7 linked regions of the Macaca mulatta genome follow. The protein of the gene in region 4 interacts with the protein of the main gene of each other region in a biochemical or structural test. Links are inferred from orthologs where the notes say so. Each region holds a gene or a part of one and is shown on either strand. Other genes may lie near its edges. The genes, in order: PKP4, CTNND2, FRMPD4, DLG4, KCNA4, SIPA1L1 and TANC1.

What was found.
Region 1: the proteins of DLG4 (region 4) and PKP4 interact in a test that uses a peptide from one of them, tested with the Homo sapiens proteins (2 studies listed by IntAct, with this or other methods). The link is inferred for Macaca mulatta from reciprocal best matches to the Homo sapiens genes DLG4 and PKP4.
Region 2: the proteins of DLG4 (region 4) and CTNND2 interact in a test that uses a peptide from one of them, tested with the Homo sapiens proteins (2 studies listed by IntAct, with this or other methods). The link is inferred for Macaca mulatta from reciprocal best matches to the Homo sapiens genes DLG4 and CTNND2.
Region 3: the proteins of DLG4 (region 4) and FRMPD4 interact in a biophysical measurement, tested with the Homo sapiens proteins (2 studies listed by IntAct, with this or other methods). The link is inferred for Macaca mulatta from reciprocal best matches to the Homo sapiens genes DLG4 and FRMPD4.
Region 5: the proteins of DLG4 (region 4) and KCNA4 form a complex in vitro, tested with the Homo sapiens proteins (8 studies listed by BioGRID and IntAct, with this or other methods). The link is inferred for Macaca mulatta from reciprocal best matches to the Homo sapiens genes DLG4 and KCNA4.
Region 6: the proteins of DLG4 (region 4) and SIPA1L1 form a complex in vitro, tested with the Homo sapiens proteins (2 studies listed by BioGRID and IntAct, with this or other methods). The link is inferred for Macaca mulatta from reciprocal best matches to the Homo sapiens genes DLG4 and SIPA1L1.
Region 7: the proteins of DLG4 (region 4) and TANC1 interact in a test that uses a peptide from one of them, tested with the Homo sapiens proteins (2 studies listed by IntAct, with this or other methods). The link is inferred for Macaca mulatta from reciprocal best matches to the Homo sapiens genes DLG4 and TANC1.

What each region holds. Positions count from the first base shown.
Region 1 is NC_133417.1:63,540,984-63,544,483, reverse strand, and holds part of PKP4 (plakophilin-4), read right to left. Parts: intron 2,734-3,500; coding exon 2,605-2,733; intron 886-2,604; coding exon 812-885; intron 1-811. UniProt on the Homo sapiens protein: Plays a role as a regulator of Rho activity during cytokinesis. May play a role in junctional plaques.
Region 2 is NC_133411.1:13,057,473-13,061,751, forward strand, and holds the start of CTNND2 (catenin delta-2), read right to left. Parts: upstream 2,801-4,279; 5' UTR 2,207-2,800; coding exon 2,170-2,206; intron 1-2,169. UniProt on the Homo sapiens protein: Has a critical role in neuronal development, particularly in the formation and/or maintenance of dendritic spines and synapses. Involved in the regulation of Wnt signaling.
Region 3 is NC_133426.1:12,330,068-12,333,567, reverse strand, and holds part of FRMPD4 (FERM and PDZ domain-containing protein 4), read right to left. Parts: intron 1,461-3,500; coding exon 1,334-1,460; intron 1-1,333. UniProt on the Homo sapiens protein: Positive regulator of dendritic spine morphogenesis and density. Required for the maintenance of excitatory synaptic transmission. Binds phosphatidylinositol 4,5-bisphosphate.
Region 4 is NC_133421.1:8,688,422-8,692,410, forward strand, and holds the start of DLG4 (disks large homolog 4), read right to left. Parts: upstream 2,801-3,989; 5' UTR 2,616-2,800; intron 2,591-2,615; exon of another isoform or gene 2,461-2,590; coding exon of another isoform or gene 2,449-2,460; intron 1,917-2,448; coding exon of another isoform or gene 1,863-1,916; intron 1,732-1,862; 5' UTR 1,729-1,731; coding exon of another isoform or gene 1,702-1,728; coding exon 1,672-1,701; intron 1,480-1,671; coding exon 1,355-1,479; intron 1,257-1,354; coding exon 1,087-1,256; intron 989-1,086; coding exon 852-988; intron 707-851; coding exon 562-706; intron 1-561. UniProt on the Homo sapiens protein: Postsynaptic scaffolding protein that plays a critical role in synaptogenesis and synaptic plasticity by providing a platform for the postsynaptic clustering of crucial synaptic proteins.
Region 5 is NC_133419.1:35,232,790-35,236,774, reverse strand, and holds the start of KCNA4 (potassium voltage-gated channel subfamily A member 4), read right to left. Parts: upstream 2,801-3,985; 5' UTR 2,386-2,800; intron 1-2,385. UniProt on the Homo sapiens protein: Voltage-gated potassium channel that mediates transmembrane potassium transport in excitable membranes. Forms tetrameric potassium-selective channels through which potassium ions pass in accordance with their electrochemical gradient.
Region 6 is NC_133412.1:144,854,760-144,858,259, reverse strand, and holds part of SIPA1L1 (signal-induced proliferation-associated 1-like protein 1), read right to left. Parts: intron 2,108-3,500; coding exon 2,045-2,107; intron 1,606-2,044; coding exon 1,487-1,605; intron 1-1,486.
Region 7 is NC_133417.1:63,990,937-63,994,436, reverse strand, and holds part of TANC1 (protein TANC1), read right to left. Parts: intron 791-3,500; coding exon 668-790; intron 1-667. UniProt on the Homo sapiens protein: May be a scaffold component in the postsynaptic density.

The sequences.
Region 1 (3,500 bases), on a different chromosome or scaffold from region 4:
TCTGGTCTATTTTTCCTGACTAAAAAACTATGGCATAAATTATGAATAACTTGGAAAATTCGTTTTCTTCCATCTACAGAGAAAAGATGATGAGAAGGAGAGGTCTTAGAACACATCCTTATCTGAAGGACAGGATACAGTCTTGTTTTAGGAAACTCCAGCTGCTCTGTTATTGAAAGGGAAGAGGAGCGACCAGATGGTCCAGGTTCACCACGGCACCGGGAAGGACCTGAGACTGACTGCAGGCCCTTCATGAAAGCAAAGCCGGGATGTGTTATAACCGCCAGTCCCACTCTCCCACAGTGAGGTCCATTCCGGCAGGGGCTGAGTCCACTTTGACCACCGACACAAACAGACCTGGCCATGGACTCAGTGTTTTTAAATTGTGGAGCCTGGACAGAGAGGGGTGAGATGGAGAATGAGGTATACACAAAAGAGAACAAGGTGATGAGGGCATGAAGTGTGCTTACCAACCTTCCCTCACCCAGAGGCTGGAAGAGATTTTAAAGCTTAACAGAAAAAGAGTGGGAAAAGGACACCGCTGGGCAAAGGACATGAACTAAAGACTTCTTGGCTGTCCCCATCAGTGGCGTGGTGGTCTCAGCAGTACCGATGTGGATACTTAAGAACGTGAGGCTACCGTGGAAATGCTTTGCTTAAACCACGGGTGAGTTTCCAAGGAGTGAAGATCCCCAGGGAAAGCATCTAGGACCCTGCCGTGTTGGCCCAGCTCTGGGAAGTCAACCGACGTGGACCCCTTACTGTGTTAACTGCTAATCGGCCTTCTGTAAAAATGATATTGCAAATTCACCTGTAGCCGTCTATTTTGTTCTCTTGCTGGTGAGGAATAGGAACTGATGTAAATTGGTGAAGGTTTGCTGGAGCCTGTAAGAAAATATTTTATGAAATTAAAACTAGTGCTTATTACTCTGGTCCATTAGGCTGAGCGGTCTCCCCTGCACTAGGGCTAGTGCTGTCCCCGACAGGGCCTGCCTTCCCCAGTGCCAATGCAGGCTGGGAGAGGTAGCAGCTCAGGGTCTGGATCTGGCCTGGCTGCTGCTTAACTCAGGGCTGGGGGCGGCTAATAGCAAAACTATGGCAAAAACAGGCCGCGTGTGTTTCCCCAAAAAGCAATGCCAGTGCAGAGCCCATGCGCAAAGGTTCCTGCTCAAGCTCTGCTCATACGTGGGAGGGTTTCTCCGGCTGGCTTTGGACAGCAGCACAGGATCCTGAGCTGAGGAACACCCCTTTTCCAGGGCTCCGAGCTACAGCAGTGGGTCAGAGAGGAGAAGCGAAACACAGTATTTGAACAAGCCCCATGCCTTCCAAACAACTGGGATTCAAAATCTCAGGTCAAGGAAGGAGCAGCCGTTGGGCAACAATGGAGGCACAGTCTTGTGCCTGCTATATTTAAGTATGTTTTAATACAAAAGGAACTTGGTAATAATGAGATAATTGTCTTCAAAAGTCCATAGTAGACTCCTGATGATGTTACCCTTCCATTATTGTTAAGGCTAGCAAAGATTTTTATTTTTTTAATGAGGAAAATGAAACGTACTTGAGGCAAATTAGTTTATTGAAGCAAGCGAAGAAGATACAGAAGGGCATGCATGCTAAAGAGGCGATCTGTAAGATAAGGCAGGCTGCTGCAAGTCGGAAGCAACCATGCACTTCAGCTGGTATGTGCATTTCCTTTTGCACAGAGCTTGGTGCTGAAATGTAGCATCTGCAATTTTCTGAGCTATTAATTGCCATAGTAACAACAGTCGATTAGTAAATAGTCCTGTGAAATCACAATTTCAAAGACAACAGTACAACGGAGACTGCTCCCCCAGCAGGAGTAAAGCTGACACTAGCTTTTATTTATTTTTAATAGGTTTGAGAAAAGAGTACTTTTTGTGGGGTAGCTTACACTGACTTATTTGGAACATCTAAAGTAGTTATAATCTGCTGGACGGTTGAGAATGGGAAGAGTATGAAATCTTAGTAACCCTTTGGGCTGGTATCCTTTAAATAAATTGTATGCACAGCTTTCTGAACAGGATATAAAAATATTAACACTATGTAACATTATTTTTGTTATTCTTAAAAAATAATCACTTTGAGAAGAATCACATTATACCTTTTGCTATTTATTCAAACTCTTCTCCATGAAAATGTAAATGAAATTGATCTCCATTCTCTGGTTTGAAGTTAAGAGATGGGCCTGTCTAGAAGACGTAGCCCCTGCAAAGCGACACCGGGCTGAGGGTTCTGATGCATGTGGAAAACACAGAGACTGCTCAAGGCAGGAGGGGACGGAGCAAAGGGACTGTGCCAGTGAGCAGCCAGAAATGATTTATTTGGATACAGCCCTCTTTTTATTTGTGGCCACCGTACAGCTACATACATACATACATACATACATACAAGTACATGCTTGTTTTACTTTAAACAAGCAGAAAAGGCAACAATCCCCAAAGTAGGAAAGGGAATGACTGGAACATGGTTTGCTGCTGGGGGACCGTCTCAATACAAGCACAGGCTACTTCCCAGGCCACTGGCCGAGTGCCTGCAAATGCGGCTTTTCAAGAGACTGTATCACACACCCAACTGGCGTCTTACCAGGGTACAGGCCTTTATGTGTGGCATCCCCTTGGCTATTGTAATACTGCATAGGTGGCTGGGTCCTATCGTATTCAGAGCGAGGGTCTCTGATTCCTAACAGTGCTGGTGAGGAAGAGGTGCTGCCGACTGAAGGGAGAGGCAAAGGAGGAGAGAAAGAGGGGAAGAAAGAGAAATCAGCATCAGTATCTGTGGAAAATCCTCTCCAGAAACACAAAGGTCAGTAACTAGAAATGACACACAGCTGGTGCTGAAAATATCTCAGAGGTGCTGGGAGGTGAAGAGCAGCTAGACCCAAGTACCGCAAGTGCGACCTGCATGCAGGCCCGCCACTGCACAACTCAGCAAAGTCAGCATCGGGGCTCACTCTCAAGCTGGAGGGCAAGCCGCCCGGCTAAAGAGGCACAGTGTAGAGATCATGCAGGTTTCCCCACCAGTGTGTCTCAATGTTTTAACTAGGCCTTTGAAACTGAGTGAGTGATCATAACTTACTAGCCATGCAAGAGTTATACCTGTTATTTTATGATCTCAGTTCAGTTGCTTGCAAAATACCCACCTATTATCCTTTATGTATAGCTCTTCAGTCAACAGAAGTTTTATGGCATGTTTTGATTTCTAATTATTTAAAAAATATCCACATCTCTAAACGTGTTTGAATAAGAGCACCCAGTCTATAAAATTTATAATTCTTTTTATGGTTATCAAGGAAACAATTTAAACCCAGTAAGCCTGGGTCATCAGGAAACACACATGGTGCTAAGTCCTGACCTCAGAAAGGCCCAGAGGATTTTTTTAGCCCAGCTTCAGTCAACATCTAATAATACCGTATCTATCCTTAGGACTCTTTTTGGACACTCTGGCACAGAAGGAAGAGAGAAACATTTCACATACATTTT
Region 2 (4,279 bases), on a different chromosome or scaffold from region 4:
CAATTTTATTAGAGCAACAACCTCATGTACTTACTACAATTGCCATTCAATCAGGTAATATCATTTGCAATCCACAATATAACATAAAACCCACATATACAGTACATGTAGTTTTTCTCATGCCCATCGGCCGCTCTGGGTGCACACACAGGCAAAGAGCAATACTAACTAGTCCTTTAAGAATCATGTTTAAGACTGAAACACTAGGCTCAAAACGAAAAAAGAAAAGGAAATGAGAAATGTATGCTACTTCATCTACTGCTTCTTTTTTGAAAGAAATTTTATATTAAAACAATGCAACGGGCACAACGGTGTGTTCAAAGTGCTCTCGGAAAGTTCCCTGAATGTGAATAAGGTGAAACTAAGGCAATATTGCTAAAAACTAATCACAGTATTCAATTAACTTGAGCCATATAGACCTTGCCAGTCCTTCTGCAACACTGACTTGTGATGAGTATAATCAAAGGCCTCCCAAATTTCAACACTTAACTTGGAATGTAATCGTCTTCCTTCAAGCCCTGAGCCCTTGTAACCCACAGATCACTAACGATACCACTTAACATTTTCCCCCAACAACAGTAGGAACAGATTCTGCGTATGGCAACGATATGTTAATAAAAGACAGCTGAGGGCAGTTTAAAGCATCTAGTTCATATTTGAGGATACTCGCCCCTATATGTCACACTTCTCGTAGCACAAATCCCCAAAATAATGCACAGGTTCACCGCCATAACTTGATATGAGTCACAGCAAACACTTCTCCATGGGATTTTAGAAGTGGTGCAGCCCCGAAGCCCTGTCATTATGTAGGTGAACGACCAGCAGCTGAGACGAGCTGGACTCCCCTCGGTAGCTTCAGCCCCTGATGAAGTATGCACAATGAGATAACTCCCAGGGAGTTTCATCACCTCCCTATTTTCATGGAAGTCACTGCAGAAAATCCCAAGCCTCTTAAATATTGGTCACATAGTTCTTAAAAGTGAAAATTTACACCTGTCAGGCCTAATACTATGCTTATAACATTCTCTGTTTTCTAAATAAACGTATTTGCTTGAGCACAGTAAAAATACATCTTAATAACACCTTCCAGAGCTAAGGCGAACCACAGCAGCTCAAATGAGGCACACAAGAAAAGAAAAAAACACCTTGGAACCACAACCTGCCCCGCTCGCTCTCATCTCCCACACCCTTCATACCCCCACGGTTACAGCAAAATACAACTTTGGGCATTCTGGAAGTAACTGTTCTTTGTGACACATACACACACAAACACACACCCCAAAAATTCCCAAGTCTGTTTTCCTACCACACACACCAGGAAGGCTGCATCACCTTTCTAGTGACTTAATTCTGAACGTAGAGGCTCAAACCTGCCGAGTGGCAATCGAAGAAAACACATTACACACCAGAATAAGATGAGGGTCGGGAAAAAAGAAAAAAGCAGCTTCGCTTTCAGCCATTAATTACGGATCACCCCAATTTCGCATCGCTTATCTCCCATACACACGCACAGCCTTCCAAACCTGGCTTTCAGGCAGCGCTTTCCAGAGCCTGGCTGTCTATTGTCAGCAAGCAGAAGCCCCCGAAACCTGTGAAGCCGGCAGCAAAGGCTTGCTCGGAAGCCGCTAAATATAGACCAAGGGGGCTCTGGGTCTGGCAAGCCGCGGGAGCCTGAAGACATGGCCATGGACGCATATGACTAAGTCTTTCCATTTTGTTCTAGCCAAACATCGTAATGACATTGAACATAAGGGCAAAAGACTGGAGGGAAGTCCTCCCCACCCCCACCCCGTCTCCTCCCGTATATTAGGGACGTCATGAATGCACCGGGTATGTTCTCTGGGTGGCAGGGAGCAGCATTGTCGGTGTTGCCCTAAATACGCTTCCTCCCGGGGAGATGGGTGGCAGGGAGGGGGAGCACGCAGGGCAGCCACTTGGTAACAGCTCCAAGAAAGGCACTAACCCCAGACCCCCTTCCAGGCACAGCGGCTTCCGAGGGGGACCTGGCACGATAGCGGTCCTTCCCGAGGCAGGCAGGACCCCCGCAGCAGCCGCCGCCGCCCGCCCGCCGGCCGGGAGCCCAGGACCACCCCCACCGGCGGCAGGAGGAGGAGGACGGCGCCGGGAAGAGGCTCTGCCCGGCCCCGGCCGCCCAGCCCCGCAACTCACCCAACGGCGCGGCGCCCGGCGGCTTCCTCGCAAACATGCACCCGCCGCCGGCGACAGCTCCTCAGTCCGGGGAGAGGCGTACGCGGCGCCGCCCGGCTTCAGGGCAAGGTCCTGACCTTGCCCAACTGCAGCATCTTCCGCTTTTGTTGTCTGAGCGCGGCCGCGGGACAAGGGATGCTGGCGGGTGGCAGGGGCGAGCGCCGCGGGCGAGAGGCGGCTCCCGACGCTAGTGCGCGGCGCCCGGCCCGGCGGCCCCTCCGAGCGCGGCGAGCGCAGCGCCCCCTGCCCGGCTCCGCGGGCTCCGCGGGCTCCTGCGGGCTCCTTGGGACTCCGGGCGCCGCCGCCAGCCGGCCGGGCTGAGAGAGTAGCCGCCGCGCCCGCCGCTCCGCTCGGCCGGCTGTAGCTGCGGGCGCGAGCCTGGGGCCGCCGCGGCGCCAGGCGCCGAGCGCTCCCGAGCTGCGCCCCGCGCGCGGCCCGCGCCACCTGTGCCGCCGCCGCCGCCGAGGGCGAGGCTCCTCCCGCGGCGCGCGGCAGCCTCAGCCTCCACCTAAGCCTCGGCGGCCGGCCCGGGCGCCCGGCTAGTAAGGGAGCGTCCGCCCCGCCGCCGAAACCGGCCCCGGGTGCGGAGCATGCCCAGTGCCGCCGCGAGAGCGGCGCTTCGCCGCGCGCATTCCAGTTCTCCTGGTTTTCGCGGCAGCAGCGGCAGCCGCGGGAGAGAGGGGAGGAGGCCGCGGGTTGGGAGAGGGCCGAGCATCCTTGGGAACGCACGCCCTGGACCTGAGATGGTTGGATGCTCCGGAGCTAGGCGAAAGCTGGAAGGGACCTGGGAAGGGATGGAACCCCAGGTTAACACCGCTTTCCTCATTCACGTGCAAGGCGCTGACAGTTGACTCTGCTGGGGCAGATGTCAGCCTGTAACAAAGGGCCAGGGGTGCGAGGGGTCCTACAGTGGCTAGGTGGGTTGGGGAAGGGAGGCCGGCAGAAAGTGCTGCTGGGCGCAGGTGGATGCTCTTGCAGATCCTGTGATTGCAGAGCTAAAAAGGCACGACGTCCAGCAGAGAGGTCTTCTCCACAGCACCTGCCCAATCTTGCCATCACCTTCCCTGTTCAGATGGCATGTTTTTGGAGGGTAGTGAAAGTTTCTCCTTAGGCAAAATCACTTCAGATTTGAATCTGGAATGCCTGCAAACTTCCTGCAAGAAAGACCCTTGCTCAGTTTGAAACTTGAACAGATTAAGTTCTCTCTCCTCCCCCTCTTGTGCCACCTTGTCCTCCTCTCTTGGCCTCTTCTGCTGCACCTCTGCCACCTTCTCTTCCTCCTTTTCTTCCTTCTTTCCTGGGCAAAAGTGAACCACTCCCCTAATCCTTCCCCACAGTTTTCCAATGCATCTCGCATTGCCTTCTTCAAGTTCAGATCGGTTTTCCATATCACCTCCTGGCTTGACTGCTCCTTGACCCCATCGGGACTTCTTGCGTATCCTGCTGTGAAATACAGCAAGTAGAATCACCGTATTCAAAGTCTTGTTGAAAAACGAAACCCAAATCATGTGCCAAGGAAGACCTCTGGGCCTTCGACCCTGTCCCTCTGACTCAGGAGTCAGGAGGGGGCTCACTCGTGCTGCATTCACAAGCCAAGCCAAGCAGAGCACAGCCTGCCCAGGGGCCAGGGCGAATGTTCCTCCTAATTATGCCACAGGCATGACCCTGAACACCGCAGACTGTCTGAGGTTGCGATCTCCTCCACCCCACCCCTCCGCAGAGCTTGTTTCTGAAACGCAAATAAGCATGACAGAATGCAGGAAATTGTAATAAGAGGGATTTGGTGCTTATGATTCTCAGTGACATTGTGCTTCTATTTTGTGTTGGAAGAGATTATCCAACAAACTTAAATGATTTGAATATTCAAGTCTATTCTTTATTATACTTGGGAGTAAGTTGAAATATAAATGGAAGAGTAAAGGAGAAAAGTCATACAGAGGTTAAATAGGTAACAAATAATTGCTAGGAGGAGCAGATTAAGCATAGACTATTGACAACAATACAAATGTTCGCTTTTATTCCTGCTACCCCGGTGTGGACATGCACACACAGGCTTGGTCTCACCTGCAAA
Region 3 (3,500 bases), on a different chromosome or scaffold from region 4:
AAATGGATAGATTGATTGATCTTATAGCAGTTATCCAAATTATTATGAGTGGGCCAGGCTTGGAAGAAAAATCACAAGTCAATTAGAGAAATCAGCTTCCAGCAAATCAGAACTGAAGTTAAGAACTTGACCCGCATTGTCTTGCTACATCTCTGTAAGCTGAATGCTCAACTGTGATCAAAGACACCCTTCCCATGAAATTGAGAAGTGAGTTAAAGGTGGCTGATAGTGTGGTGAACCTGATTATACTTAAAAAACAAACAAACAAACAAAACAAACAAAAAAAACCGTCATGGGGTGTGGAGGGGATAGAAATAAATGTGCCTTACCCAGTAAAAACGACTTAAAAAAATCAGACACTAAGACAAAATAATTCTCCATGTAAACAGTGATTTGTATTAGAGTCACACAAATTTCTCCAGCTAATATCAATTGGAAAGTGTTCTTCAGTTAGAAGACTGCGTCCAATTTTATAGATCCAGTATTTTAAGGCTCCTTCTCTTTCTGGTTCCTAGAATCTTTTGCTTTTTATTACCTATAAACTATACCTCTCTTTTCTGACCAACAGTATATTTTAAAATTTCCTTTGTGTTTCTTTTACTTAATGAAAACAAAACAAAAGCATAAAAAGATTTTAACACTAATGATGGTGAATGACAGCAATAATTTTATCTTCCCTCTAAAGGTAGGTTTGAATCCAATGTTTGTCAATAGGGGTGATTTTGTTCCCTGGAGCACATTTGGCAATGTCTGGAGACATTTTTGTTTGTCACGATCATGGGAGGGTGCTACCAGCATCTTGTGGGTAGAGACCAGGGATGCTGCTAAATATCCCACAATACACAGGATGTTCCCCGTAACTCCCTAACAAAGGATGATCTGTTCTCAAATGTCAATTATGCCACAGTTGAGGATCCCTGGTTTAATGAATGTGATCTCTGGCCTGCAGGGCCTCTTGCTGGCTGTTGTGCATTTAAGCTGGTCTGAGCAGTAAGCAATTGCATGATTGAAACATAGAATTATTTCACAATTCTATCTTCTATTCACAAGTTCTCAGAGGCTATGCAAACTTTTCCTGGATGGGCACATGAACACACACCTCCCCCCTACAGTACGGAGTCCATAACTTGTGAGAAATAAATAGGTTTCTGTATGAATACTTATTTTTCATTAGTGTTAGAAATATGTTAATAGTTAGAAAAAAGTTACACAGTGTTACTGCTTCTGAAAATATGGTACTAAGTATTTTATTCATGAGCTAATTTTAAACATTTAAAAAAATGCATTCAAGTCTCTTTCTTTATAATTTTCTATTAAGATGCAAATGTGATACCTTTTTACCCGGTGGTACCAAGTTTTGATTTGCTTTGACAAGGTGTGAAAGTGCTTTCTTTATGTTCTTCTCTTTCATGCTTTGCAGCACAGCAGAGGGAAGAAAAGTCTCTAATCCCCATTCTTTTCTGCAATAAAGAGCATATCTTTAATTTCACATTCTTGTGATGATGAGTTATCTAAGACAAAATGGTGCTCTGATGTTTGTTGGAACAAATGAACCCTTGGTAAGGCAGAGAATGGAGACAAGTCCCCAATTAAGGAAGTAACTTTTAGTTTGCACTCAGGACACACACTACTTGATCATTAATACGTATGTTTGCATTTAAAAAGAAATCTATTCCTCACTCTATAGAGACAATGCTAAGGAGGCATTTGGAGCCAATGTAAAGTGAAGAGACATTTTGTCCAACCAACTTCTGAATCTCTTCAAAGTCACTGACGTATCCGAGTTTGTATTTCCAACACCAATTTCTCTCCATCCCTTTGTTGATTTCTATTCTCCAGTCTCCCTGTCTGCTCACATTCTTTCTCTCTTCTCTTAGAAGAATGGATGCAAGTCCTTCATGTCCCCAAACCATTCTTCCCTGTCCCTCCCCTCCTCCATGGCTATTTCTCTAGGCACACACAATTCTTTTGTCCTAGCCAGTTCATGTCTAACTCCTTCCATCAACATTTCTTGCTGGTGGTGTGGAATTGGGTGTGATTCATGACTCTTAAGTGTGCCCGGTATTGATCTGGAGATGCTGGCATCATTCATGGGTATGGATGTACAACAAAATGACAACAAATGGGGCTGAGTTAATACATTTTTACAAAGAGCCAATTTCCCCAGAAATGACTACAACTCCTTTCTTAGAAGGTCCCATATTTTGAATTCTAGGAAATCTATCCTGGAATAGAAATCCTACCCTAGGTTATGTGTCTAACCAGTGTCTTCTAAATTATGTGAAGACCTTCAAGAGGATTCCAGTTACTTCTCCTGTTCCAGGTCCTCTCCAAAGAAGGGTAGGCAGACAACCTACCTCCACCACTTGACCATTCATATTCTTCACTAGTTAAGAATGGTATATTTCATGATTATGTTTTCTTCCTTCTCAACTTGTACTTATTGTCTTTAGCCATCATTTGGCACTACTTATGGGCTATCTTGTAATCCTACTTGTATCATTGTTTTAAATAATTACTTTTCTTGTCTTTTTATCTTGTTTTTACAATCAGAGCACAAGTTCCTCAATGGCCAGGAATAGAATTCATACATATTAGTATTTTCTACTGTCCTAATGTGAGTGCTATATAAAATGCTCAATGAATATTTGTTGGTCAAAGGAATTTATGAATGAGAACATTATTATAGACTTTTCAGGATTTTTACTCAAGCCGGATATCTCTGAGACGTTTTTGACTGTACAATGTTCAACCTGGTAAAATGTGGGTACAGAAAGTAGGAAAATAAATGCATTTTAATTGTCTGAAAATCATCTCAGGTTGTGCAGGCCACCTTTTCAAATGGCAGCCAGTTTCACCTGTCCCCAAGAACTTTAGAAAGGAGAGTGGAGGAGGGTGTGAATGTGTCCAGCTGAGCACAAGATCTCTTTGTGAGCCGAGTCTTTCTCAGGATACAGTCATGCTTATGTGTGGGGAGAGAGAGAAAGCATTTGGAAGGAGTGAACTGAAGGCCTGAGGTTCTCAAATTGCACATGAGGATTTTTCCCTACATGTCAACAGGTGACTGAGAGTTGTCAGAACAGTGGTGTTAAAGTCAGCAAGTTAGAGATTTAATCCTTCCCAACACAGGCTCATGAATTTATTGAGAAAAGCCATTTTGCCCCCTGGTGGGTCAACCTGGCATTGTGGAATTTAGAAAGGCTTTCTAGGCAGCCCATGAGAAGCTTCTTTGGAAAGTGGGATTTTAATTAGTTTATACATCTTTTGGAGGTGAGATTGCAAGCAGGGTGTGGGTGAGGTCCAAAGCTTTAGCATTACATGTGTTTCCAAACACAGGTGCCTCAACCCATCACACAATCTATAGGACAATGGGGAGTCCCACTGCCTGGGTTTGAATCCTGTATCCCCCCTGCCCCCCCGTTAATAGCCATTTGACTTGGGCAAGTTATTCTGTGCCCGGTTTGCTCATCTGTAAAATGAAGCTAAAATCCTACTAATCT
Region 4 (3,989 bases):
AGCAGAAGAATTATCTATTCCTTGAGAATTTCATAAAATTAGCCATAAAACCAAACAGGTTTTGTGCCTTCCATGGGAGAGATCATTGACGATCTTTTCTAGTTCTTTTATGGTAATTGATTTTCCATCTCTTCTCTGACAACAGCAAGGATCAGAGGTTGTGGCTATTTCTTTTTTTTTTTTTTTTTTTTTTTTTTTTTTTTTTTGAGACGGAGTCTGGCTCTGTCGCCCGGGCTGGAGTGCAGTGGCCGGATCTCAGCTCACTGCAAGCTCCGCCTCCCGGGTTTACGCCATTCTCCTGCCTCAGCCTCCCGAGTAACTGGGACTATAGGTGCCCGCCACCTCGCCCGGCTAGTTTTTTGTATTTTTTAGTAGAGACGGGGTTTCACCGTGTTAGCCAGGATGGTCTCGATCTCCTGACCTCGTGATCCGCCCGTCTCGGTTGTGGCTATTTCATTGGGAATATCTGAAGAGGGACAGCTACAGGGATGTCATGGGACTGCATGTCATGGGTTAAACGGGATGGGTCATGGGGAGCTTTGGCGTTTGAAGGGCTCTCACAGGTTGTGATGTCTGGGGGAGCATAGCTGTCACTCAGGTAGGCATTGCTGGGCTTGGCCACCTTTAGGTAGACAACATCATACGTGTTCTTCAGGGCTGCCACAGCATCTTCATGCATGACATCCTCTAGCCCCACACTGTTGACCTGGAGTCAAGGAAAGCAAAGCTCAGACAAAGCCACAAATGGCCCAAGACAGATGGACTGGGATGAAGTGATGAACTTGCGCCTGCCAGGGCTAGTAGGTGAGACCCAGATTTGGGCTAGAAAATGGACTAGATGGGGTCCTCACCGCCAGGATCTTGTCTCCAATCTGCAACCTCCCATCCTTGTGGGCAGCACCCCCTTCGATGATCTTTGTTACATAGATGCTATTATCTCCTGGGATGTGCTGGTTCCCTACGCCCCCTGCGATGCTGAAGCCAAGACCTGGATGGAGGGGAGGCCAGAGGTGGGTGCCCAGGTGCCCAGGAAGCAGGCTTGGGGGCACAGGACAGTTGGGATGGGGGAACAAAATGAGTTACTACCTTTAGGCCCCTTGATGAGCTTGATCTCCATGACCTTCTCAGCTGGGGGCTTCCGGCGCATGACATAGAGGCGAACGATGGAGCCTGCCTCTTTGAGGGCCTCCACCGCTGCCGAGTGGGTCACCTCGCGCACGTCCACTTCATTTACAAACAGGATGCTGTCGTTGACCCTGGGAGCAGCAAGGTGGGCCTGAGCCAAGAGCTTCCTGCTGCCCTGGCCCTCCCTCTCCAGGGACCAAGCATCCTAACCCCTGTATCCTCTCCTCACCTGAGGCGGCCATCCTGGGCCGCAGCCCCACCAGGAATGATCTTGGTGATGAAAATGGACGGGTCGTCACCGATGTGTGGGTTGTCAGTGCCACCTGCGATGCTGAAGCCCAGACCTGAGTTACCCTGGGCGAAGGAGGGGAAGAGGGTCAGCTCCCCTCACTGCCCAAGTCTGGCAAGGCAAGTGGGGTGGGAAATGTCTTGGAGCAGCCAGAGCAGGAAGGGATAGGGTGAGGGGCTGGCCACGCAGACCACATGGGCAGAAAGAAAGGTACAGATGGGGGGCCAAGGGGACTGCCAATGGAGGAGCCTGCTCACCCTTTCCAATGTGATTTCCTCGTATTCCATCTCCCCCTCGGTCCCGTTCACCTGCAACTCCAGCACGGGACAGAAACACAAAAGCAGTGAGACAGACATTCCTGCCTCACAACCTGCCCGTCATCTGCTTCCCTCCCTTACTCCCTCCTTCCTTCTGCAATGGCCCTAGCCCCAAAATCTAAACAACTCACATATCCTGGGGCTTCTAGGGTATCTGTGTTGACAATCACAGGGGGAGAATTGGCCTGTTTGGGGAAACAAGAGACAAAAAGCCACCTGAGCCTTGACTCGAGAGGGAGCCCGTAACGGAGGGTCCCATCAGCGTGGCTACCCTTTCAGCCTCTTAGCCAAGCCCACTCTGCCACGCTGAGAGCTGCTCAAGGGCCCAGTCTCACTCCACATCACACACACACGCACACGCGTGCACATGCGCACGCACACACACACGCACAGATGCACAAGCACATGGATCTAACTCTGCCCAGCCCGGGGCCCCCTGCATGTGGAAGGAGGTGTAGGAGAAGCGGGAAGGGAGACAGCCAGACGGAGAGGGGAGCAGCAGATGGCAAAGAGTGGGGAGAGGGGGGTAGGCTTGGGGGAAGGGAGCTTCTCACCGGATGTAACACCACAGGGTGTTACATGCCTTATGTGCTACACATGGACAACCCAGGGATCATGTCCACCGGGTCCTGGTACCCACTTCCTGCCCCATCCCCCCCCAATCCCCCCATAACTACCCGGATATTATCATAATCCTCCCCTAGACTTGTCCCTCACCTTCACACACATTTGCCCTAAACCCTGCACCCCGGGAATCCGGGGTTCCCCCAGCTGCAGACCCCTCCCTTGGTCTCACCAACCAGACGTCCAATCCACCCCTTCCTCTAGGGACCGTGTTGCCTAGCAACGGTATCTAGGACCAGCCAAGACCCGGGGAGACCCACCTCCAGGAGGCCCCGTCGTCAGGACAACAGGGGGGTGGGGCGTGGCCTGAGGCCGACCAAACTCCTGAGCGCAGAAGGTTTCCGCTAGCCCCGCCTCTTCTGCCCTGGGCCCCGCCCAGCGTTAGCCAGGCCGAGAGGAGGCCGGCCTGAAGAGGTTTGTGGGCGCAGCGCATTCTGAATAACCTGCCTTCCTCGCTCCCCTACGCCCCTCACCCTACGCAGTGCAAAGGACGTCAGGAAGGGGGAGTGGTGAAAGACATCCGGGTCCTATCCCGCTCATCTATTCCCTCCCCCAACTTCATTCGGGAAGGGGTTAAAGTGGGGCGTGCCCAGGTCCCTGACGTCAATCGCCTGGTCTCTAGACTCCCAGGCGGGGCCAGCTTTAGGCTGGTCCTAGGGGCTTCCCCAATTGCCAGGGCAACCGAAGCCACGTCTCTATGGCAATGGGGGGAGGCCGCCAAGAGCCTCCTTCCGGGGTCCCCAACCTACTTCCTCCTTAAAGAAACATGTATTTGCAGTAGCCCAAGCCCAAGGATTCCCCAGTCTCCTTCCCGCTCTCCCCGTCCAAAGGGGTCCCTCCCCTCTCCTAGTGCTATTTCCCAAGCCTACAAACTACCAACCATTTTCAAGCTGTATCACAGGTTTCACACCCATAAATCGATTAACACCACCCTCCAACCCTTCACATCTCAGCAAATGCTGTTGTCCAACCAACAGCCACTGACTGCCAAAATCTCATCCACGTGTTCATCCTCCATCCCATAGCCTATCCTCAATCCCCATCCCATCCCTATCCTGGAACCTCCTTCCCAGCACACCCACCTTCATCCACTACGACATTCATTTGCTTCCCATCCCTGTCTCTGCCCGCATCCCACACGCTCCATCTCCATCCCTGTCTCGCCCTTCAACATCCATCTTCCAACCCTAGCCTCCAGCCTCCATTCTCCATCCGCTTCCCTGGCCCTATCACACCCTCCAGCCCCATCCCTTACCAATGTCGTGGCCTCATCCTCCATCGCAATTTCTTTTTTTCTTTTTTTCCCGAGACAGAGTCTCGCTGCGTCACCCAGGCTGGAGCGCAGTGGTGTGATCATAGCTCACTGCTGCCTTGAACTCCTGGGCTCAAGCAGTCCTCCCACCTCAGCCTCCTGTGTAGCTACAGGCACATGCCACCGCACCCAGCTACTCCATCTCAATTTCTGATTCCCCAGAGAGTGTATCACCATTCTCCCTTACCCTGCCTTCATACCCTCAAGATTATTCTCAAGTAACAATCTTACACTTCTCAATCAACTCCCCCTCTCTTCTGAAAATTGGGGCTTCTCTTGTTCCCCAGGTGAGGCCTTGTCTTGAGACCTCCACCCCATGCTT
Region 5 (3,985 bases), on a different chromosome or scaffold from region 4:
CACTAACTAAAGTAGGGGAAGATGGGACATGAGGACATACAGTACATCCTGAGACTCACCAGTGGCCGTCGTTAAGTTGGCACTGCCTGGCTCCCTACCGCATGTCCCCATTGTTTTTCTGTTCCCCTGAATCCTGAACACTCTCTACCACCCACAGGCTAGGAACTAATGCCAGTTTCCACATCTCTAATAACCATCTTCTCTCTTTGGCGGTCGCTCCATGTTCACCTCAATGGTTCCTCCTCCACTCTGCTCAAGGTGCTATCTCTTATTTTTTAAAATGTCAGTTTGTGTGAACTTCATTCTTAGCCTATCATACTTACCCCCACTTCAATAAAATCCACATCCCTAACATCCCTCGTCCTCTCTCTCTCTCTCTCTCTCTCTGCCCACTTTTATTTACAATCTCCCACTTCCGAATTGCATGTCCCTTGCAGTTCCAATCTGCTCCCTCTGTCACCTGTTATTCCTGGCCCTTCTTCTTCCTTAGTTTGCTCTCCCAAGATCCAGGTAATTCATCTCCTCAGCCAGGTCCTATAAAAGCCCCCATCCAAATCTCCCGTCTCCTCTTGATTTTTCCATGTACTCTGTTCAACAGGACTTCCAAGAATGCAGGGAGTAACCCAGAGAACTGGAGAGAATGATGATAGTCAGAATTCAGGGCATCTACCAGCTTCTATTACTGGAAGCACTTGGAAAGCATAAGAGAAATGGCTTTCTGAAGCCATTAACAGGATTCAGCTCTTGACCACCTGCTGCTCCTTGCTGATCCTGTCAGCCTAGCAGCCTAAACACACTAAATTTTATGAAGTGACAAGCATGGAAGTGGCAAACAGAGGTCTTCCCAATCATACACCCCTTCCCAATCATACACATTTTCCTAGGGCAAGGAGGGCATTTGATTGCAACACAAACTCCAGAAAATACACCACTGAGGGCCTCTCACATGCCATCTCCCTTCTTTGCCTTACTCCTAACATCATCTCATACTCTGAAATGTTTACCCCCAAGGAGTTACTAAATCCCTACTTACAAAACCATCCTGGGGTGACATTCACCGTGGAGTGTCAGGCCAACATCCTTTCAAGACTGGTACAGACCAAATAGCCTGAGAGTTTGCTCAGTTTCTTCCCCAACTCCCCCAAAACAATTATAATTTCAATGAAGCCCCAGTGTAACCCAAGTTCCTGTATAGTTGAGTACTACACACACCTGCCCTCCCACCCAACTGACTCCCAGAAGGTCATAAATTAGAGAGTCTTCTAATTCACCATCAGCTCTTCGGGAGTTCTAGAACTGCCCTCTTTCTGCTCTACACCAAATAATTTCACATTTATTTATTTATTTATTTGGGATTATTTGTCTTTGTTTATCTAACTCCCTCCTCCACCCTACAAGTAGCAAATTGCCTTCCTTTTAATCATCTACTAGTTATTTCACTATCCCTGATCTAGAAAAGGAGAGAGAAAGAAAAAGAAGAGAAAAGAAAAATCATTCCTCCCAGCAAATCAGACTGGTTTAAAATCTCTCTTCTTTCTCAGGGTACTCTTGTTAGTAGAATCTATTCAAGCCAATTTCCAGGAGCCTTTATGATATAGATCTTTGCAGAGGAATTTGTCTTCTTCTTTAACACCATTAAACTAATAGGATTTTGCAGACTACCTATTCCCCAATCCCGGCGCCCCCAAACAACAGCCAAGCATCCCACCCCTCCTCCTCTCACCCCTCCAACAACAAGGCTGTTCGTCTCTCAGTGCTAATTCCTGCAACTGTGTCAGTGTCAGGGTGGTACCCGAACCTTAGAGAGAGAGATAGAGAGAGAGAGAGAGAGAGAGAGAGAGAGAGAGAAGAAAAATTGAGAGAGGGAATCAGAGAAGCCAATACCGTGAGAAATATACACTTCAACGCACGCCATTTATGCAGCCCCTATGTATGTTGCTCAAATGCTCGGAAAATGCACGCAAATCCAAACGTTGGGAGAGGCAGCAATTCAGACTCGTTCACCGGCTGTTAACCGGTGCGGCTGGAAGGAGGTGAAACGATGCTAAATCTTAACCCCCCTCTCGTTGGGAAACGACATCTTTAATCGCGCCGTCGCCTCCAGACCTCGGTTCCCGCTCCAGCACGTTAAGCAGGGCGCACTCACCGCATCCCCGGGGTTGGGAAAATAACAACTGTTGGCCCCCTGGAGCGCCGCGCAGCATCCGCACCTCCCTTCTCCCACCTCCTGGTTTATTTTTAACCGCCTTCCATTCATGCCCTTCTGTCACATTCCCGATATTATTTATCCCTCAAATGTCCACTGTTTCTTAACAGCCAAAAGAAGAAGGTGGAGGAAATATTTAAAAAAAAAAAAAAAAAAAAAAAAAAAGGTATCATACTTACCGTTCCCCGGCGGGGCGAAAAATAAAAATAAAGAAAATCCACCGGCTGGCTTGTTTTTCCCCCTCAAGCTGCAACAGCTGGAGGAGGGGAAGAATGATCTTGGGTGAGGGGGGTGGTAAAAGGAATCACTCGGGTTTGGCAGGTGGAGGGTCCAAATATCCACGGAACAAGTTCTGTTGCCTGGCCCGGGGGGTGCACAGGGTTCTCGCGGCTGGAGTCTGGGGGTGGGGGTCGGGGCTGCCCCAGAGAAGACCCCAAGGCTCCTGGTTCCTCTGGAGTTCAGCACAGGAGGGATTGCCTGGGAAAGGAAGTCAAGGTTCCTCCGAAAAGAAACAAAATCCTAGACAGCAGCGATCACTTGTTAAGCCCGAATTCCTCCTCCAACATCCATCCCTCTCTGGCTCTCGCTGGCTGCGGGAGCAGCACACGCCTCCCCTGGCCGCGAACGCGCGCCGGGCGGGGGCGGGGCCAGGGCCGAGCCGAGGGTGTGGCGTTCGCGACGGTCGCCAGGGGCGCCTCCTGGCGCGGCGGGGCGGGCGCAGTCACGACGCCGCGACTCCCCGCACCCCGGCTGGGCCCCCCGACTCCCAGGATCTGGGATCAATTCCAGGAGTCTTTGGCTCTGGTCCCCAGAGGCGAGGAGCAAATCCTGGAGAAGTGTCCCCGTTGGGGCCGGAATAGGGGTTTCGACGGCAGCGCGGGAGTCCCCAGAGGGCTTGGGAGCGGGGAGCTCCAATGGGAGGTGCAGTCCCGAAAATGGGGTCCTTTGGGACATCTCCTCTCCCTAACTTGCTTTCTCTATATCTCCCCTCTAGCCCCGTCTTCTTTTCCCCACCCCACCCCCTCCCAAAGCGGGTTTGTTGGGTTGGGAAGCGGGTGCATCTCCGGCGAGGCCGCTGGCGGGGAGCCCTCCTGTGCCTGCCAGCGCGTGCAGATCCCTCAGTCTCCGCCTCCCTTGTACACAGTAGTTGAGCGGCTTCAGCGCCGGGGTTGGGCCTCCGGGGCGCGGAGGAGACCGACTTTCAACCTGTGTTCAACCCCGGGCAGGGGAATGTTACAGAAATTGGAATCAGGCCCAAGCTAGGGGCTGCGCGCGGGAGGCAGCAGTCCTAGGGGAGGAGGGTTGGAGAGATGAGTAAGTCGCGGGGTGGGCCAGGGGCTGGGGGCTTTGGAAGGCGGGGGAAGAGCACGCAGCCAACCTGTTGCTGCAAAAAGAAATACGCCTCTGGTACCGACTCCCTGAGGGCTCTTTGGATCCTTCGGGATAGAAATCAAGGGAGATCGCAGCAAAATACAAGTTTTTTGATTTTTCTTTCTTTCTTTTAATTAAAGCTTGTGCGCACAAGGGAGCTAACACCAAGAAAAAAAAAAAAAAAAAAAAAAAAAAGTGGGCTGTTCCTCGAAGTCAGGGTGTGGGTTTCTTTTACGGGCCTCTGCCGTAAGGGGAAATAAGGGGAACTATAGGCAGGGCATGTAGAGGTGGAGTTTTTCTGGTGCATGCATAGTGGTTTAACATGCTTCTTCATAGGACGTATGTATCATTAGCATCTTAAATCTCCACGTCTGGGCGTTATTGTTTGCATTAAATTAAGGAAAAGGT
Region 6 (3,500 bases), on a different chromosome or scaffold from region 4:
TCAATCCCAGTTACTTTATTGGTGTTACTCTAGCTTTCCTCAATAACAACTTACTAAGTGCTGTAATAAAACCTTCATTTATTCTTAATAGGACAGAACTTCTTTAGCTCCAGACCTGTGCTGGGAAATCTGGTGACCCTTAGTCATGTGTGGCTACTGAGTACTTCTAACATGGCTGGTTTGAATTGAGATGTACCAAGAGTGTAAAGTATATAATACATTTCTACAGAAACATAATGGGAACTATGCATGTAATATTAAATTTTCTAGTAGCCAAATTTTAAAAAGTAGAAAAGAAACATGTGAAATTAATTTTAATAATATATTTTATCTAGCCCAACCTGTCCAAAATATTATTTTATCATGTAATCAGTATAAAAATTATTAATGAGGAGAAATTTATAGATCAGTTGGGATAATCTATCATTTACAAGTAGAATTGTGACAATATCACATTGTCACAACTTGTCTCAGTAAATATTTTCCTCATAGAAAGATTCTGCTCAGTAGGCTGGGTGCAGTGAGCTGAGTTCGCGCCACCGCACCCCAGCCTGGGCGACAGAGCGAGACTCCATCTCATAATAAAAAAAAAAAAAAAAAAAGAAAGATTTTCCTCAGCAAATCTTTTTCTTCAGAGCAAAGTGCAGGGCATGCTCACTCTCCCTTGTTTTTTTTGGCTCAATATTCATTTTTCTACAGCAAAACTTACATGCATCTCTCATTTAAAGTTCTCTGGGCATCTTCCATAGTGAACTAGTAAGCATGAAATACAGTATTTCCTCATTCTATAGAATGACGTGAATATAAACATACACATTCCAGTGAACAGACACACCAAGGAAATCAACCGCATGGGGAGGGCGTCCCATCCCATTAGCAGTATCAGGGAAGAAGAGTGAGGAAAAAAAAGAATAAGAGGGGGGTTGGAGAATGATAACCTCATATTCCCAATTTTACTGTAAGTGAGAAGGAAGTGTGTATTACTATAGCAAAAGGATGAAATGTGTATGGCTATGAAAGATAAGAGAAGCGGTAGAGGAGGCACAGGGGAAGCTGTCTGTCTCCTATTCCTCCTTTACTGCAGCAGAGTCAAAGATATGGTTGGAGCATCAGTCCTGCTGGAGTCCTCCCATGGCTGGAGCAGGACTGACACTCTAACCACATCTCATGCTTGCAATTGTGTAAGCAAAAAAAAATCCACTTCTAATACATTTCCATTCCTAACATTCCAGGATTGTTAGTGATTGAATCAGATGACCAGACCTGTGGGTGTGGCAGAAGCACAGCAATGAGGAATTACAATTTATCTCAAAGCAATCGAAAGGCCATAGCAGCAGAAACTGCAAGGCCATGGCAGCAAACGACCACCCTTTGCCAGAATGATTTCCTCTTTGGCCATGTAGAGAAAACAGCAGAGCATTTTCACAGTGCAAGGAAGGTACACTGCTAGTAATCTAATATTTTTTAAAGTTTACAGTTAACTTACATGCCCTTGTTTGTTTGGAGACAAATGAACCACTGGATCCTGCCGCATTAATCTCCCACTGGGGCTCTCTCGGAAAGCTGGCAGTACCTTTGATACTGCTGGGAGATGGCATGTTGGCTCTGGAATACAGCATAGGACATTATGGTGCAGGCACTAAGCAGAAACAAGCACATGGTGACAAATGAAGATGGCTTGCCATTGCATCTTTCAGTTCACTGACCAGCAAACTCTGCATTTCAGCAGTAAGCTTGTTAAGAGTCTATATGATAGACAGCAGGTCAGAAACTTAAGTGGCTGATGGATAAAGCTTGCAGCTGGTGACAACTTGTCACATCATACACATTAGCATAGCCAAGTACCACCAAACCAAAGGCCATGAACAACGCAGCAAAGTTCAGAATCAACTTTTGGTTTGGGGGGAAAAATTTGGATTATATGAATTAAATTTATGAAATTCATTCATTGCCAAGTGTGGCTAACCTAGCTTGGTCTACATTACCTAGACAGGCATGGATGCAATCACGTGTTACTTACCATGACACTTTGGAAATATTTTACCTGTATATTCATGCTGCTCGAGGACAAAAGAATTGAAATCCTGAGGTCCTCTATAACTGTAAGCTGAGCACAACAGAAAAGACACACAGCAACTAGTTTACTTAAAACAATTGCTTCCTTTGGGACTCCAAGCTGGCGTTCAAGATGGGGTTCCAAAAGTGAGAGATAAAGAACTTATCCTCCATAACACCACTACAGCTAATAGCAAGAATCCTGGGCCTCTGAAACACCCTTCCTAACACGTAGAGGACAGGGCAAAATACTCCTTGACTCTGACTCTCGACCATTTCCAAAAGCAGAGGCAGAAAAGCAAACAGCCATAAGGGTAAGTGAGCCAAGTCAGTAAGTTAAACTCCTGTCTCCACTGTCAGGAGGGTACCTGTTGATACAATACACTGATGCCTAACCAATAAGAACCTCGTAAACATTCTCAATCAGTGCAAGTCATTAGAGAATGCTGTTCTTATAAACTGAGTAGAGAAAGGTCAGCCCATTATATACTCAATATTGGGTACTGAGTAATAAAAATGCAACAATTATTTTTCTTGACTTCTCCCTGGAATGGCTTATACCAGCTAAGCCTTCTGATTCCGTCTGATGTGCCAGTTAGGAAAGGCTGGGTTATTTTTCTGGAATGCTGGGATATCAAAAATTATTTTTAAAATTATTTTAACATTTTATTTGAAGGGTTGGATTTTCAACGGTGAAAGGCCACCACTTGGACCTCTTGTACTGTGGTGAAAGGCTTCTTTGGCAGACTTCAGGGGTATCTTATTTTTAAAAAAGGTATACCTTATGAAAAAGATAAACAAATACGTTTTAAAAATTCACCTACATTCATTTTTAAGTCTTATCTATTAAGAGTGGGATGCCACTAAAGTAAAGTGGATGCAGGGAAAAAAAGAACAGAGGGAGGTTAGTGTGAGAGAATGAACAGGGGTCTAGGAAGAACCTTGTAATTACCCTTTCCATCCCTTCTCACACTGTGTGACTTCCCGAGTGTGGCAGGCATGACACTGCACGCCTCACAAAGGGCTTGCTGGCAGCCTTGTTCAAAGCCTGCACCAGGAGCCAAAAAAAGTTGCTAAAGTCATGCTGAAGAAGGGATCCTTTTCACATGTGTCATTACCATCTCAACGGTATCAAAACATATGGGATTTAAAACATTCTGTCAAGAGTAGAAAAGCAGATCAGAATATGCTCAGGTTTTCTGTGTGGGGGTGGGTGGGATAAGAGTAGAGAATGACAGATGGCTTCAATAACAAGGCACATCTCACTGAAGCTACTGGAACAAAGCATATCTTCAGAACCTAGGAACTCCATTTCTCTTCCTCAACCCCTGTCTTGGTGGAATACATCTCCACTCCTTGCCATGTCCATGGTTAGTACATTTACTCGGGCACAGTCATTAAAACAGGACAGAACAATGAATTTGCAGAGAAGATTAACAGATGGG
Region 7 (3,500 bases), on a different chromosome or scaffold from region 4:
ACAGAGAACATCGCCAATACAGTCCAAGGGATTTTGTCTTTTTCTTTTTCTTTTTTTTTTTTTGAAACAGTTTCACTCTTGTTGCACAGGCTGGAGTGCAATGGCATGATCTCAGCTCACTACAACCTCCACCTCTTGGGTTCAAGTGATTCTCCTACCTCAGCCTCCCAAGTAGCTGTGATTACAGGCACCTGCCACCATGCCCAGCTAATTTTTATATTTTTAATAGAGACGAGGTTTCAACATGTTGGCCAGGCTGGTCTTGAACTCCAGACCTCAGGTGATCCACCCGCCTTGGCCTCTCAAAGTGCTGGGATTACAGGCATGAGCCACCGTGCCCAGCCTAGTCCAAGAATTGAAACAAAGCTTATACTTTGTTAATAATAAGCACCTAATGAGTGTTCAACTACCCCTCACTTCAAAATAACTTACTGCAGAATTATTTTTTCAATTCCAGAAGCAAGTTAATCACATATTTTAAGGAAGAAGCCCCAAACCGTTGAGGATGACCTCTTAGCCCACCTCACAGATATGCTTTTAGCACAAACACACACACTTTCCATCATGTTATAAACACAGTTGGCTTCAATGCTGGTTATCACAGACTTTCAAAGTCACTGATTGAGTTCATCATAACCATTATTGCAGTGGATGTGAGGATAAATACCTTTAACTTCCTGTGCCCTACCTCCGGCCGTATTGTGCCACGGTAATCTAATTGACGTCCGTAGAGGAGCATTTCTCTGCCCGTCTAAATAACTCAGATCTTCCAGTTTGGTTGAGCTTGTTGCTGTAATATTAAACTGAAGTTTAGGATCTTCAAAGGTGACTTTAAATTTCATACCTAAGTGACTATAATTTATAAATCACTAAGCAATTCAGTTCAGGTTTTCAACAAAATTTACCTAAACGTCATTTTGGTATTGTTTGCCCCAGTTTATTTTTCTGGCAGTATCCATTGAAAAGTGGTAAAAACCAAGTGCTTCTTTTTCTTAAAGTTATGTTGACTGAGTTGCCAGAATTCTCCATTATTCTTGGAAAGAGACAGAATTCACCATAAATTGTTTGATGAAGAAATCTGACAATCATGTGGCACACAGCAAAGCTTCAGTACTTACACCACAAGCAGGTGGCATGCTGCTAGATTCTTCTATGCAGCTCTGGGGAGCTTTCCGCTGTTTGGAATGCCAAACTTATTAATTAAATGGGCAGATTCTATGTGTACAATTCTAAAAGTTGGCTCAGTAGTAATAGAACAATCATATTCCTAAGCTTCGAATATGTGTAGACTTATATAAACATTATATATCATACTGCATTTTATAGGTGTATTTTTTTAATTCTAAAAATAAGTTACATTTACCTCTGACCAAATCCGTAAGACTCATATCATGTAAGTATTTGTTATAAAGCGTTAAAAAGCCAGGTGCGGTGGCTCATGTCTGTAATCACAAGACTTTGGGAGGCTAGGGCGGGTGGATCATTTGAGGTCAGGAGTTCCAGACCAGCCTGGCCAACATGGTGAAACCCCATTTCTACTAAAACACACAAAAAATTAGCTGGGCATGGAGGCGGGTCTCTGTAATCCCAGCTACTTGGGAGGCTAAGGCAGGAGAATTGCTTAAACCCGGGAGGCAGAGGTTGCAGTGAGCCAGGATCGTGCCACTACACTCCAGCCTGGGTGATAGAGCAAAACTCTGTCTCAAAAAAAAAAAAAAAAAAAAAAAAAAAAAAAAAAAAAAATTAAAGATCTATTCAAACATTCATACAAGTTAGATTACAAAAATAACTAGCACAAAATAATTTTGCTAATTCTCAAGAAATCTTAGAAGCAAGTATATAGTATACGTTTTTGCCTTTTAAAAACCCCTCCTGTTATTACATTGAGGAAAATCTAAAATTAACCTAATTTGGTTTATGGGTTAAGCCCAACATGAAGTACTGTTGATCTTAGTCAGATTATTATCTTCCAGGACAAGAAAATATACAGTGACTTGAGGGCAAATGAGAGCCTAGAGGGAGTCATAGTGCCTGGGTAAAGGCTTCTTAGGACTGGGGACATCTTCAGTGGGACCAAGGTGCAGGGGACAGAAGTCAAGTTGGGCCACTTGTCTTCGGAAAACCCTCTGGCTGCCCAACAGGCTCTGACCCAGCATCCGGCTGCCGACCAGTGCCATCCATCCTACCTGCACCCTTCCTATTTCCCCCCACTAAGATCTCAGTCCTTCTCTTCCTCACTGTCTATATCATCCTCTCTCACTCCTTCATTCAACAGCTACCTGGGTGGCTCCAGGCCTGACTGTGTTGGCATATCCCCTCTCACTGCATCCTCCAGCGGGCAATCCAACACATGCCCTGCCTACTCATCCTCCCAGCCAGCAAGAGACACCTGAAACCTTGACTTCACGACAGCATGCACCGATGCCTCTGTATCCTCCTGGTGCATATCCACAGTGTATACACATTTAGGTGAATACTCTGTGCACATTGCCAGTTACCACACAAATCTTTCCCATTAGAAAGCCTCGGCTAATTCCTTGTCAGGGCTTTTAAATGGATCAAATGTATAGTAATCCAAGGGCAGCCTCTAGCTTCTCTCTAGGTCCTTCGTAAGCAGGGTGTATAAAACCTCCCGGAGGGCCAACAGGACTACACTGTCTTCCCCCAACCTTCTTACCTCCCTGTAGTAACACAGCTTGGAACATTTCTAGGCTCCTGCCTGAGCCCTGGGACCCTTCTCCTTACACGCCTCATGATAAATGCACCCACTAAAGCACAGGTAGAAGGGGCAGGCAGCCATATTCATAATCTATAACTCATTTCAGAGCCAGAACAGTCATGAACATCTGACATAATGCTGCAGCCCTAGAGAATACAAAGATGCTTTAGAGCTTCAAACGTGTTGCCTATGTCCCTTCTTCCCCTGACTCCTTAGAACATAACAGTTTATAAATTTATAACAGCTGAAAGGATTAAAAATATGTGACCACAAAAGACATTCCAAATAAAGGATTGCAAAAATGCCCTAGATTGTATCTAAACAGATGCAGGAGATGGTAAGATTTCACAGGCCTGTTTTCAGATTCCCAGTCACTAGAGCTTCGGCACCAAAATCTGCAACAGAGCAGCCTCAGCACTTCCACAGCTCTTGGCTAATTCTCAATTTCAAATACGATTAAGCTGAGCTAAAAGTTGCAGCAGGGCCATAAGCCACCACCTGCCAGCTATCTCGGCTTTCTGAGGCATTTTCGAAGCCACCAACAGAGGTGCCAGTGAATAAGGCAGGCAGATATCAGTGGCTGAGCTATGTGCCCAGGTGCTCCCGACCCTCTGAGCAGGAAACGTGGGCCACTCTGCCCTCTCAGGCATGCCTAAGATTCTCAGATGTTACCTGTGCAAAAGTCAGACTCACATTCAGTATTTACCCATAAATGCTTTCAAAATCCTGAACACTACTCAGGGCCCAAAAACCCCAAAGGTAAAGCAATAATTTCATGCAA